Drosophila melanogaster: one gene and its partners. The protein of the gene in region 2 interacts with the protein of the main gene of each other region in a pairwise test. Each region holds a gene or a part of one and is shown on either strand. Other genes may lie near its edges.

Evidence for each region.
Region 1: the proteins of Stip1 (region 2) and Aldh-III interact in a two-hybrid assay, tested with the Drosophila melanogaster proteins (one large-scale study listed by BioGRID).
Region 3: the proteins of Stip1 (region 2) and CG9117 interact in a two-hybrid assay, tested with the Drosophila melanogaster proteins (one large-scale study listed by BioGRID).

The regions. Positions count from the first base shown.
Region 1 is NT_033778.4:7,474,121-7,478,970, forward strand, and holds the start of Aldh-III (aldehyde dehydrogenase type III), read right to left. Parts: upstream 3,043-4,850; 5' UTR 2,127-3,042; intron 1,440-2,126; 5' UTR 1,375-1,439; coding exon 1,320-1,374; intron 1,261-1,319; coding exon 1,222-1,260; intron 540-1,221; exon of another isoform or gene 452-539; intron 11-451; exon of another isoform or gene 1-10.
Region 2 is NT_033779.5:293,233-297,963, forward strand, and holds Stip1 (stress induced phosphoprotein 1), read left to right. Parts: upstream 1-1,889; 5' UTR 1,890-2,039; coding exon 2,040-2,048; intron 2,049-2,113; coding exon 2,114-2,396; intron 2,397-2,471; coding exon 2,472-3,579; intron 3,580-3,744; coding exon 3,745-3,817; 3' UTR 3,818-4,217; downstream 4,218-4,731. Other genes in the region: U2af38 (U2 small nuclear riboprotein auxiliary factor 38), read right to left, coding at 390-1,140, 1,209-1,252.
Region 3 is NT_033779.5:6,036,455-6,039,776, reverse strand, and holds CG9117 (uncharacterized protein), read left to right. Parts: upstream 1-1,874; 5' UTR 1,875-1,961; coding exon 1,962-2,648; 3' UTR 2,649-2,780; downstream 2,781-3,322. Other genes in the region: CG31643 (uncharacterized protein), read right to left, coding at 1-1,574; mtm (myotubularin), read left to right, coding at 2,966-3,322.

The DNA of each region.
Region 1 (4,850 bases), on a different chromosome or scaffold from region 2:
TGCTGCCAGTGTGACCGCGCTGGGCTTCGAATTTGTAGCTAAAAAGTGCCAAAGGGCGCCTAATATAAGACGAGCTACAGTCGTAAATTTCGACAATAATAAAGTTTAAAGTGGTTCTTTAAAAATTATCGGGATGTAACTACAGTCTATTGGCGTAAACATTTAAGTTTTCGTTTTATTTGTAAAACAATAGTAAGTGTTAAGTTAATCTTGGTTCATGTCACTGCTAATCCAGTGTTTGCTAATGTCGTTCAGTCTGTAACTTTCCATAGCGGTAAACTTAAACTATGCAAACACGTAACAGTTTTTCAAACACTTATTTATTTTGGCACAACTGCAAAAGAGTAATACTCGTTTCCAACGAAAACAACTGGTTGTTCACTAAATGGCGCAACCTAATTGCACCATAAATAAGCATATCCAGTCGGTGCACAGAAAACAGCTGGCTTACCCAAAAAAAACACTCTGAATTCGCTATTTTAATCTCTCCGAGAACAGAACACACCTTTTCAACGCAAATGCCGGTCGACACTGAGTGGATTGTTACTCCACGAACCGAACATATACTCGACTAGGGCCGCTGGCATTCATTATCAGAACTGAATGCATGTGTATTTCGTTCAGAATGTACATACATAAGCTATATACCAACTGATATGGACACTGGATTTCGGATGGGGAAAGTCAAGCGTGTCGCTCCGATAACGAATCAGTATGTTTTGGACTCGGCTAACACAAGTTCAGAGCATTCTGAACGTTATTCCAGCCTAATCTGCTAATATCAATGGTGTTAATATTAGTTGGACATAGTACACTCCCCACTTTAAACCGAACGCATTTGTTTATATATCGCACTTCTATACTTTCCGATAATAGTGCTTGGTAACGGTGACTCCGATTAAACAAATGACATATAACAATGAGTGCGATTAAACAATATATGACGGAGTCACCATGAGTGAAACTAAATGTGTTTGAGGATTTTAAGTTATTTTTAGCTAAATAATGATGTTACATGCGTGTCCTATAAAAGCTTTCACGCTTATTAAGATTATTAAGATTATTGGACTTTACAATAATGCATATAATTTAAAAACCCCTTAGTTTTTGATCAAGTTTTAAGCTGTACAGGAAAAACTAGATTTCACCCTCTGAGTACTGCTTCTATTTTTATACACATTGTATGCAAAGCTTTTGTGGCATACGAACTTTTTGACTCACCAATATTAATGACAGTAGTTATCGGCCGATCTCCTGCTGCTTTAACGGAAACTCTATAAAATCGGGCATTTTGATAAGTAAGACTTTCATTAGCTTACCATTTATTGGAGCTCCATTGGCCTCCGGATGAGGTTTAATCGCGTTGTCAAACATTATCGTAGTGTTTTTTTGTTTGGTTATAAATTCGCTATTGGGGACACTTTTAAATAGCACAAAAGCTGTAGGGATTCCCAGGAAACGAATGTGGTAAATGTGGTTAACTACTAACTATTAAGTGGCAAATGTCCGAACAAGAAGATTGCACACTTAACTAAGCAAACCAAATGAAAATCAATGTCAATTTGTCAAGTTGTCCTCGTGGGAAAATCAATTAAATAACCAGCTGGCGAAATCCTTCACAAATTCCACATTGACTTACACAAGCTTTTTGGCCCGCCAATTGGTTAAGGTGAACTAAAGATTGAAATATTGTCTAAACAAGAAATATTACAATAGATGATCAATATTTCTAGTATTCATATTAGATTGTAATATTTTTTCCGCCATTGTTTATGGCACAACTTTGCACTTCCTTACGAATAATAGTTTACAACAATACTTGTAAAAATATGGATTTCTATAAGTCGAATTTTTAATAGAATTTCCAAGTTTATAGGGATCAAATGTAAAAGAAATTCTGGGAAACTACAATAGCAAGCAAGTTGGATACTGCGTATTTATTAGTAGAATTCTTCGCGCTCAGTAATGGATATCTAATAGTCGTGACACTCGACAATTTCTTTATTAATTTGAAAGTGCAGCTGTGTTTGATCCCTTTTCATAAATATTTGTACATTTTGACTTGGGGATAAACATAATAAAATAATTGCAAATGATCAAACAAATCGTATACAATTCAAGCTTACGATTTGAAGTCTTTAAAAGCTGAAACAACAATATATCAATGAAAAAACACCCAAATGCACCAGCACTCCATAATCAGTAATCAGTTTCAAGTTCAACCATGCAAATATGGCTGTTGGCCAACACACTCGATGATTCAATGCGAATTGAATTGATTAGCACAGGGGATCACGTTTCTGTATGACAACATATTCACATGGCGTTTATCATGTAACCGACTTCGACTGGATTTGGTTTTCGGTTTTCCGTCTCCAGTTTCACTTTCATTCCAGCATCTGGGCCGGCTAATTGTCAACGCAGTTGGCTAATAAGCGCGAGTGTAGATTAAATAACCACTATCCGGTACTTTGGTTTAAATCCAAGCAAATCTGCGCGCGATAACGCCCGAAAGCCAACTGATTTGAGTGGCGGAGCACTGCCAAGTGGCCACTGGCCGTTGACCACCGCCGCGTGTATCTGGAGGCGGAAAGCCGGACCGATGCACTCGACCACACTTCGGCTGGAGCGGCTTACAGTGAATCGGGTCGCTTAATTACACATGGACACTATGTGCTGGTCTAATTTGTATGCGTAGCCCGCCACTCGAAAAAAAAAAATTAGCCAGCAAACAAGTCGCTGTATTCAAAAGCGTATTGAACACGCACCGGGCACTCGGATTCGAATTCGAATTAGGATTGAATCTCGGATTCACCTGACGCCGCCGCGCTCGAAACACGTCTAAGCCCGGCTAAGCGCTCCAAGTTGGCCCGTACCCGCAGTCGTCGTCGCTTTTCCAGTTTCAGTTTTCTTCGCGTTCTTGATTATCTCGAATCTCGAATCTTAAATCTCAAATCTCGACTTTTGATTTGAATTTCTTAATGGGGGTCTTCGGCGCTAATCACAGGTCGCAGATGCACACGCATTCCCGGCCCAAAGTCACCAGATAATGGTGATGGATGCCAGCCACCTCTCTACTAATCCGAATGACGATACAGTCCGGCTTCTGTGCAACGAACACGCCGTTTAAAAGGCGTTTGTCACATTGCAAAAGAGTGGCACTAATTGGAAAAACTGGAACCACCAACTGCCAATTTACAAACTGGGCGCCTGCGAAAATCTGTTTTTCCTCAAATTAAATCCACATTTTTGATAGTTGCTCATGGCAACTTATTGGGTTCGTCAACTAGACTCGTTTTTTTTTATCATGAAGTAAAGTTGTAACAAATCTGTGCTACAGCAAAAAAAAAACTCTTATAAAAGTGTTACATTCTTTAAATGCTATTTAGAAGCAAAGTTAAGGGCACAAGATATAACTACTGACCAGAAATTATGACTGTAATGAAGGTAGTTTTAATTTGAGATTTGACATCAGTTCTATTTAGGCAGTGCAGCCTGTACCCGATGCCCTAGCCAATTAGGAATAGGGCGAGCCAGGCTAAAGATCGTCCCGTAAACAATAAACTATTTGCCTTTCAGGTGTTTGTTATTTCGAGCAGCTGTTTTGCGGCAGAAGCCAGCAAGTGAAGTGACGGCTAATAAATAACCGGTTATTGATAAGTATTCACTTGCATCGAATCACAGCGGACAGCTTCGCACCCTGACCATGAGATCCGGACAAAAACCTCAGTGCCAGACGTCGTCTGCTTGAGATCGAGAGCTGAGATCCATTAAACAGATCGCGTTTAGTCCAGTAAACCTGCCAATTGGCATATCAGTCCGGATTCTAATGCCGTAATTACCTGTTCTCGCCACTGAAATTAGCTGGTCGCTACCAGCTGGCGGTGGACTTTGGCTCGCTTTGCCCAACTTTACGGCCAGCAAACAATTGTAAAAGTGATTTCGAATGGTGCTCTTTGCACACAAAGCTGCCGCAATTGTAGTCACGCAATTGATGCGATTCCAAATAGTATTCCAACTTTTCAGTTGCCTCGCCAAGTCTCATTATGCCCAGCGGCGTACTTAGCGATTCCTTTTGTCATTCTAATGGCCGCTCGGCACTTTTTCGACAATGCCCGCAACCCATTTGCGTCGCATGTATGTGGGCTCTATGGAGATGGAAGCGTGGCCTTGACCCAGGTTCCGGGTCCGCGTGACGGCATCACCCATTAAACGAGGCAGCTAAAGATGCTGGCATTTGAGAAGTAAATATCTATGGGCTAAAGCCTTATCTTTGTGTCAGAAAGTAACTAAGATTGAAATTAATCATTCTATCAACCAATTCGAAGGTATCATAATGTTTCAATTACGTTTGAAACCCATAATTGACTTAAGATTGGCTTTAATAACCAGATATGTAGAATGACTTGAAGTAATTGCTCCGAATCAATTTCAATCACAATCATGATTACATATCGAGGTATTCAATCAATCCATTCTAAGATTCATTGAACGATCGTATGCAATCCACATCTTCGCTCAGTTTTTCGAGCTCCAACCGGGAGTACGTTACTTACCTTAGATTGGCTTCAAAACCCAGAAATATATTGATTGTTCCCATTCAATTTCAATTCAATTCAACCAATCCATTGTAAGCATTCATATGGAACCATTAGCTAGTTGAACTCTTATGCACCCGTGAGATACAGTAGCCTATCTTTAGGCTTGCGCTGTGGAACTCAAGTGTTCAAGTGAGATAGAAAAAAACGCAGAGCAGTGTCCACAATTATTAGTGTATAATTTATTATTAAATATGTTATAAAATTTGTTTATCGTATAAAATATACTCTTACTCTTGTCTCGTCAAGTCC
Region 2 (4,731 bases):
TGCAGGCCTAACAAGGGGTGGTGTCTTCTGGATGTTATCCATACCTGTGAGGAGTCTTTTATTTTGAGTGCCTGGACTTTTTGACAATTAGACCCATTTCTTACTATGGCTTCCAGTATAATATTACTCAATTTTATTATTATGAATGTATGTATAGTAAATTACAATTCTAATGGGCGCTCGGTAAAATATTTCGCGGGGGGTTTGTACATAGGTGGTGGAACTCCCCATCGTCATTTTCCTCCTCCTCCTTCCATCTCGTTTACTCAAAAGTGATATAAAAACGTGGAAAACCAACGCAGAGACTAAAATACACGATGCTTTGCGTTACTGCTTGTCCGTTGCTTTCTCTCTCAATTGCCACCGTACAGAAAAAATGTCCAGAATATTTAATACCGTCCACCACCACCACCGCCTCCTCCGCCACCACCTTTGCGGCGATCGCGATCGTTTCCGCGATCATTGCCACGCATGTTGTCCCGCTCGTTGTTCAAGTAGTTTCCTCCGCCGACACCGTCGCCTCTGCCGCCTCCTCTTCGACCCGGGGATCGGGACCTGCTGCGGGAGCCGCGACGGCGTCCAGGGGATCGGGAACGGGAGCGGGCACGACGGCGGCGGGAGTAGAGGTACCTTCGCAGCTCACGCGAGATGGGCTTCAAGTGCATGAAGTTGCAGAAGCCGGAGCGGGTACATTCGCCCATCTCGTACTGCCGACAGCAAGCCTCGCGGAAGTCGGTCACCGGCGATAGTTCCGAGTACACCGGTCGACCACCGAACCACCGGTTGTTCAAATCGTTTGCCGCCTTTTCCGCATCAGCCTCGTTACGGAATTTGATGTACACATTGCCGACCAGATGGTCGCCTAGGTTGTCGCACACGTTCATCTCCTCGATTTCCCCGTACTTGTCCTCGCACTCTACGAACACGTCCTCGAAAAAATTGTCGTAGTGTTCTTGCATCTCCTCGTCGGAGACGTTGGCCACCAGATGGGAGCCATCCGCGGATTTGGCGGAGTTTTGGGGGTTCACGTATAGATTTTGGAGAAGCACCGTCTGCGAGAAAGTGGGTTTGTTGTGGATGCGAGAGCACCGGTCGCCGTGGCGGCAGGCGCCGATCTTGAAGTAGAACGAACAGTTCACCCTGGGAAATGCAACGCCATTTAGTTATTAATCCCGGCAACGTTAAAATAAATGTGCCATGCGACTTACTTGTCCTTTTCCGTGCCAAAAATGGATGCCAAGTACTCGGCCATGCTGGCGGCTTTACTGTGGTGTTGCTGTGGCCAAAATGTGTAACTTATCTACCCGCTTGTCTCTGCAACGCGGTCAAACTGCAATTATGTTAGCCGCCTGTTTATTTAGTGATAATTTTCAATTATTTTCGGAAACCGAAAAAAGCAGCGTCTGGTCGTATTTTGCACGGCGTTGCCAGCCTCGAATCTAGAGTTGCAAATAAAATCGATGATTAGTTATCGATATTTAGTGTTTTTGGCAGCATCGTTTTTCGATACCTCTGTTCTTAATTTAAATGTTTTAAAATATGCTAACATTTTAAATATTAATTTCAAATATTTAAATATTAATGCACTTAAAAGCCTGAGGACTTATTTTTCATTTGACTAGAAAAATTTTACAATTCAAAATAAGAAATTGAGAAAATTATTTACGCAAATAATAATATAATATAAACATAAATAAACAATACAATAAAATAACATTTAAATTCTATAAAGCTCAAGGTATTATTTATATTTGATCAACAATTTTTTTAATTTATATAAGCAATGGAAAAAATTATTTAAGAAGGCTTGCTGGTTTTGTTCCCCGCTTGAGAACGAGCTAAGTTCTAAACCGCAGTCTGGAAAAAGATTAAATTCAGTCGCAGAAGCATTGACAACCCTATCGATTGCTTCTAGAAAAGTCGGCATTTTTCGCATTTTCACCTGGCACGGCACATTTCGCAGCGTGTTTTATTAAAAAGTCGTACAAAAATACAGGAAAAACTGTAATTCGACAGCGCTATCCTCTCCCTTATCAGAAATGGACAAGGTAAGTGCCCGAGACAAAGGAAAGGCGTTGGCATTTCCAATCAAAAACCCTTGCGGTTTTCGCAGGTGAACGAACTCAAGGAAAAGGGTAACCAGGCGCTCAGTGCCGAGAAGTTCGACGAGGCGGTGGCGGCGTACACAGAGGCCATCGCTCTGGACGACCAGAACCATGTGCTCTACAGCAACCGTTCGGCGGCATTCGCCAAGGCTGGAAAGTTCCAGGAGGCGCTAGAAGATGCGGAGAAGACCATTCAGCTTAATCCCACCTGGCCTAAGGGTTACTCACGCAAAGGAGCTGCCGCTGCGGGTCTGAATGACTTTATGAAGGCCTTCGAAGCGTACAACGAGGGTAAGTTCAAACACAGCTCAGTTATATGCCATGAATCACCCGACCTAACCTCACTAACCTCGGTTACCGGCGCAGGTCTCAAGTACGATCCCACGAATGCTATACTCCTGCAAGGCCGCATGGAAACTACTGCCTCGGCTCTGAGCTTTATGCAATCGCAGGGGGATATACCCATGGACGTTGATCCCCAGCAGGCACGCAGCCGCAGGGCTCCATCGCCACCGCCGGCGAAACCGGCTGAGCCCCCAAAGCCCGCTGAACCTCGGGTAGAGGACATGACTGAGGAGCAGAAGAATAAGTACTTCGCGAGGAAGGAGAAGGAACTGGGCAACGCCGCCTACAAGAAAAAGGACTTTGAAACGGCCCTAAAACACTACCACGCTGCCATTGAACACGATCCCACGGATATCACGTTCTATAACAACATAGCTGCTGTTCACTTTGAGCGCAAGGAGTACGAGGAGTGCATCAAGCAGTGCGAGAAGGGCATTGAGGTGGGGCGCGAAAGCCGCGCCGACTTTAAGCTGATAGCTAAGTCCTTTGCTCGCATCGGTAACACCTATCGTAAGCTAGAGAACTACAAGCAGGCGAAGGTTTACTATGAGAAGGCCATGTCCGAGCATCGCACCCCTGAGATCAAGACCTCGCTGAGCGAGGTGGAAGCCAAAATCAAGGAGGAGGAGCGAATGGCCTACATCAATCCGGAGAAGGCCGAGGAAGAGAAGGAGCAGGGCAACCTTTTCTTTAAGAAGGGGGACTACAGCACCGCTGTAAAGCACTACACCGAGGCCATCAAGCGCAATCCGGATGATCCCAAACTCTATAGTAACCGCGCCGCCTGCTACACCAAGCTGGCCGCCTTTGATCTGGGCCTCAAGGACTGCGACACTTGCATCAAGCTAGACGAAAAGTTCATAAAGGGCTACATCCGCAAGGGCAAAATTCTACAGGGCATGCAGCAACAATCTAAGGCGCAAGCCGCTTACCAAAAGGCCCTGGAACTGGACCCCAACAACGCGGAGGCCATTGAAGGCTACCGTCAGTGTTCGATGAACTTCCAGCGCAATCCGCAGGAGGTCCTCAAAAACGCAATGTCCGACCCGGAGATTCAACAGATCTTAAAGGATCCGGCTATGCGTATGATCCTCGAGCAGATGCAAAGCGATCCCAATGCGGTCAAAGAGTAAGTACCCGTTTGGCTTTATTCGTTCGCTTTTTTGGGTTTCATTGGTAAAATCTAGAAATTAATAGCCCATTTGAAGTTAACAAGCAGACTTACGTTTCTTTGGTCTTATATATTATTAACAACCTGTATACTATATTTTAATTAACAACCTCTATATTTCAGACACTTGCAGAATCCTGCCATCGCCGATAAGATAATGAAACTGCTGGAGTCGGGCATCATTCAGATTCACTAGGCACTCCAGATCCACAAACGAACATCCTCATACAATCACTAACTCACACACAAACCCCATTGATAAACATTCAGGAGAGAACCATTACGCATTATTATGGCGTCTCTAAGCTGGTTAACCAATATATCGTTTTTGATGAAACGGGCCACAATTAATGCTAAACGTAATTACCTAAGAAATCACATCGCCTATTCGCAGAACGACGATAACTACCATTAACAGAAATTTAAACTAAAAGGAGAAAACAAAATCATTGATAAATGTCTGCCTAATTGATTTACGCAGACGGGTGGAGTAGGCTCCAAACGTCATGGTCCTTATTTTCTTACTACAATAAATATGCTGTAGCTTAGCTCTAAAATAAGTTTCTGTTTGTACAATAAACGAGTCACGGAAGGGTAAGCTATGATTTTGAATTTGGCGCCCAAGGGCTACAAGATGGGTAACTTACGGCTTAGCAGTCGTTCTCTAACGTTTTTCCAGGGCTGCCAAATTATTTAGAATATATTTTATATTTATACAAAGAATGATTTGCGCCAATCGCCTTTTAAATAAGAAATTTAAATGTTATTATAATGCAAAATCGCATATTTTCGGAAAAAAGCATAGACTGCAAATCTTTATTTTGAAAAAATATAATTTCGAATGAATTAAGTTGTGAAATTAAAATGATTAAAAGCAACAACCTGGCCAACCTTTTTGTAATTATAATGTGTGAAATATTTTGTATTCTTGGGCAGCCCTGTTTCCCGCGCTTACGTTATTATATCCAACCGATACGTAGTTTCGTCTTGCTCAACACTGCAAGCCGCCAGTGCTACAAAGGCCCTGCAGCTCACTCGCAGCAAGTGGCATGGCAACAACAGCGCTGTTCAACACCGCACGATTTCTACCCGAAAATAATGGTGTGCTGA
Region 3 (3,322 bases), 5.7 Mb from region 2:
CTGGCTATTTGCATGCCGCGACTGAGGAGAAAGCAATCCTGAATGCCAAGCTGGGGCGCCATTGCGAGCATTTTGCTTAACAAAAAGTTGGGAAATTTCTTCCAGGCCAACGGAGTCTGCCCGTAAGCTAGCACAAAGGATGCAAGTCGTGCGAACTTCGCTGGCAGCCTTCCCGCTATGTCATGCTCAATAGCATTCATGCACATGCGACTTAGCTTTCGTTCCAGTTCTAAGTGACGGTAGGTTCCTCCCAGATTGTTATTAAAGTTCATATAGCGTTGACAGTGTCTCAGGAACCGTAGGTGCAAATGCTTTTCCGGACAGGACTCCAGCTCTTTTACAACTCCTGACCAGTATGTGTTGCAGAATTCAATGTCGGAGACTTTTAGTGCACGCAGAACGCTGAATAAATGTCCGCTCGCATTGGGTTGCTGCCAGGCCTCTTCGGAGTAGAGCAGTTCCTTAAACTGATGCAGATACTGGTCTCTCTGCAGTGGCGTTGCAAAGGGAACTGCACAAAACAGGGCGTCAGCAGTGCCTTCTTCCTGTAGTAACTTTTCAAGGGCTTTCTTGAGCGGCTCTATCAGTGCGGCGGGTTCTTGATGATGCAAAAATGTGCGACAAATGCTCTTTAGATCTGCAGACTCCATCTGGTGTATGCAAGGTCGCAAGACCAGCATGACCTCCCGAATCAATTGGGTGTGGGTCTGCGACCACACTGGAATATTCAGCATGTGGATCACCTTCAGAAGAGCCTTAGGGGTTTCGCTGCTGAGGACGCCGCTTTGCATCATTTCAGTCAAGCGCAACTTGAAGCGCGTAAACAGCTCCTCATCAATGAGAAAGTGTAGCTGAAAGAGGCACGTGGACAGAAGGCGAACCTGCTCTGCGCTGCGACACCAATTGATGTGATGTTCCAGGTGCGGAATAAAGTTCCTACACACAAGCGGAGTGAAGAAGTCGCGTTCCAAGTTGATGCCCACCGAGAGGCGAGACAAGGAGGTCAAGGGAATGACTTCGTCATCAACTTGTGACTCGATTAATTGAAGAGATCTCGTCAGCACGGCCTCCACGACTGCCTCGGAGTTTGGTATATGCATTTTGCGCAGGTACAGGTAGCATCTACTGAGATCATCGATCTCCAGTTGGTGTACATAAGGGGCCAACTTTGGGAGCACGTTAAGCAGCACGCGATCCGTGATGGCATCTTTACTTGCCTGCTCCGCGTCGTGATAGATGTTCCACAGCAGTGAGATTCCCATCACCACATGGGAGCTCTGCAGGCCGTCACAGCTCTCCAACACATCTAAAATCTGGTTACCCGTCTTGGCCTCCTCCAGTCGGGTTAGAAGAGCATCCTGTTCCCGTGGCACGCCAAACTTGTCTTGGAGATCTCCGTTCACCAGCTGCGAGTGCTTCCTCAGTTTTTGGCCCAATGCCGGCAGCAAGGCAGCTGTTTGGATGGGCGGCTTTGCGCCAATGTTAACGTGCCGTCGCAGGAGCTGAAGCTGACGCACTCGCAGAAGGTATTGTAGGTACTTCCATTGTGTCCGCGGCAGGTGGTTCAGATACATGCCACTTTATCTCACGCTTATTCAGAAATCGTTGAATAATAACAAAATTACGCCGTATAAACATGTGAGTGAATTTTTGGCGATCAGCTGGTGTCGGTGTTGCCATGAAATCCTAATTTCCATTATACTGAAACCAATAATGGAATCAATGTGTAAAAAAAAACTTAAAATAATTTCTGAACTGTGATTAGCGGTATACAAGTTAGATAAGTAATTACTTAATTCGTAAGTAATTTGTTTATTTCGTCAAAAGTTTCATAGTGGCAACTCTAGTTTTCAACAGGTTGTTGACGAGTTGACATTTCTGTTTGTAAGCAACAGCTGATAAGCAGCTGACCCTAAATAATTTAATAGGCTAGAGCGTTATCGTTGTTAAACAACTAAACAATGGCATACACTGATCCTGCGCAACGAAACCAGGTGACCGTGCTCCAGGTCGGCTATTCTCGCCAAGAAGAAGGAGACGAGTCCGCCATGCGGGCTAACTGCACATGCACACTGGTCCGCTGCCGGGATGGCACCAACATAATCGTGGACACACTGACGGCCTGGGATGGAGATCACCTGCGTTCGTTGTTGGGCCAGCAGGGACTAGGCGTCGATGACATCCACGTGGTGGTCTGCTCTCACGGACACTCTGACCACATCGGTTGCAACTATCTGTTTCAGAAGGCACGAATGCATTTGGTCGGCGCATGTGCCTCACATCACGACCTCTACATGGACCACCTTGGTAGTGGTAATCCAGACGAGCAACTGGCCCTAGATTCGAATGCCGAGGTGGTAGTGAGGCGGTCGCCAGGACACACCCTCAGCTGCGTTTCAGTTCTTGTGGAAAATTCCCAGCTGGGTGGACGGGTCGGTATCACCGGAGATCTCTTCGAGCGTCGCGAGGACATCGACGATGAGAACATTTGGATGGACGCTGGAAGCGAAAACGAGAAGGTGCAGCGCGAGGAGCGCAGTAAAATGGCACAACTGTGCGAGTTTATAATCCCAGGACATGGTCCGATGTTTTCTGTCACACAATCAATGCGCTGTAAACTTAAAGAAGACGCCACTTCTAACACTTAATTTATTAAGCATTAAATACATATGTTAGAGATTTTTTTAAAAGCGGAATTGTTCTAGCTTTCCTTGATTACCAGTTAAATGTCTGAAATAAGTTGATTAATTCCAATACATAAAAATCAAATTTTCCGCCACTACATAATGTCCCTTTGGTACTTTTGTCGGAGGAATGGGAAATTATTCCAGATGATTTTATATTGCGTGAGTTGGCAGCACTGCTGCATGAGTTTTGGTGAATTGCATTTAGCTAACAATTGGAAAAGAAAACACAGCTGCAACCAGCAACACAATAGCCAAACACCACTCGTGTCCATCCGAAAATGGATCCCTCCGCGAGCCTGGCCGACAAGTTGGCCTCCAAGACTGCCAGCAGCAACTCTCTGGACAGCAGCTCCAAGTCCAGTTCGCTGGGCTCCAAGCACGGTGGCGGAGAAAACGGCATTCTGCGGGACACGCCCTTCGGCTATCTGGAGGGCGAAGAGGACCAGGACCAGAAGAACGACGTGACCTACGTGTGTCCGTACCGCGGCCCCGTCTTCGGCGCTCTTACCATAACCAACTACCGTCTGTACTTCCGGTCGCTTCCCCTGCGGGATCAGGAGCCGCCCGTCGTCGTCGACGTGCCTCTGGGCGTGATCGCGCGTGTGGAGAAGATTGGAGGTGCCACGTCTCGCGGT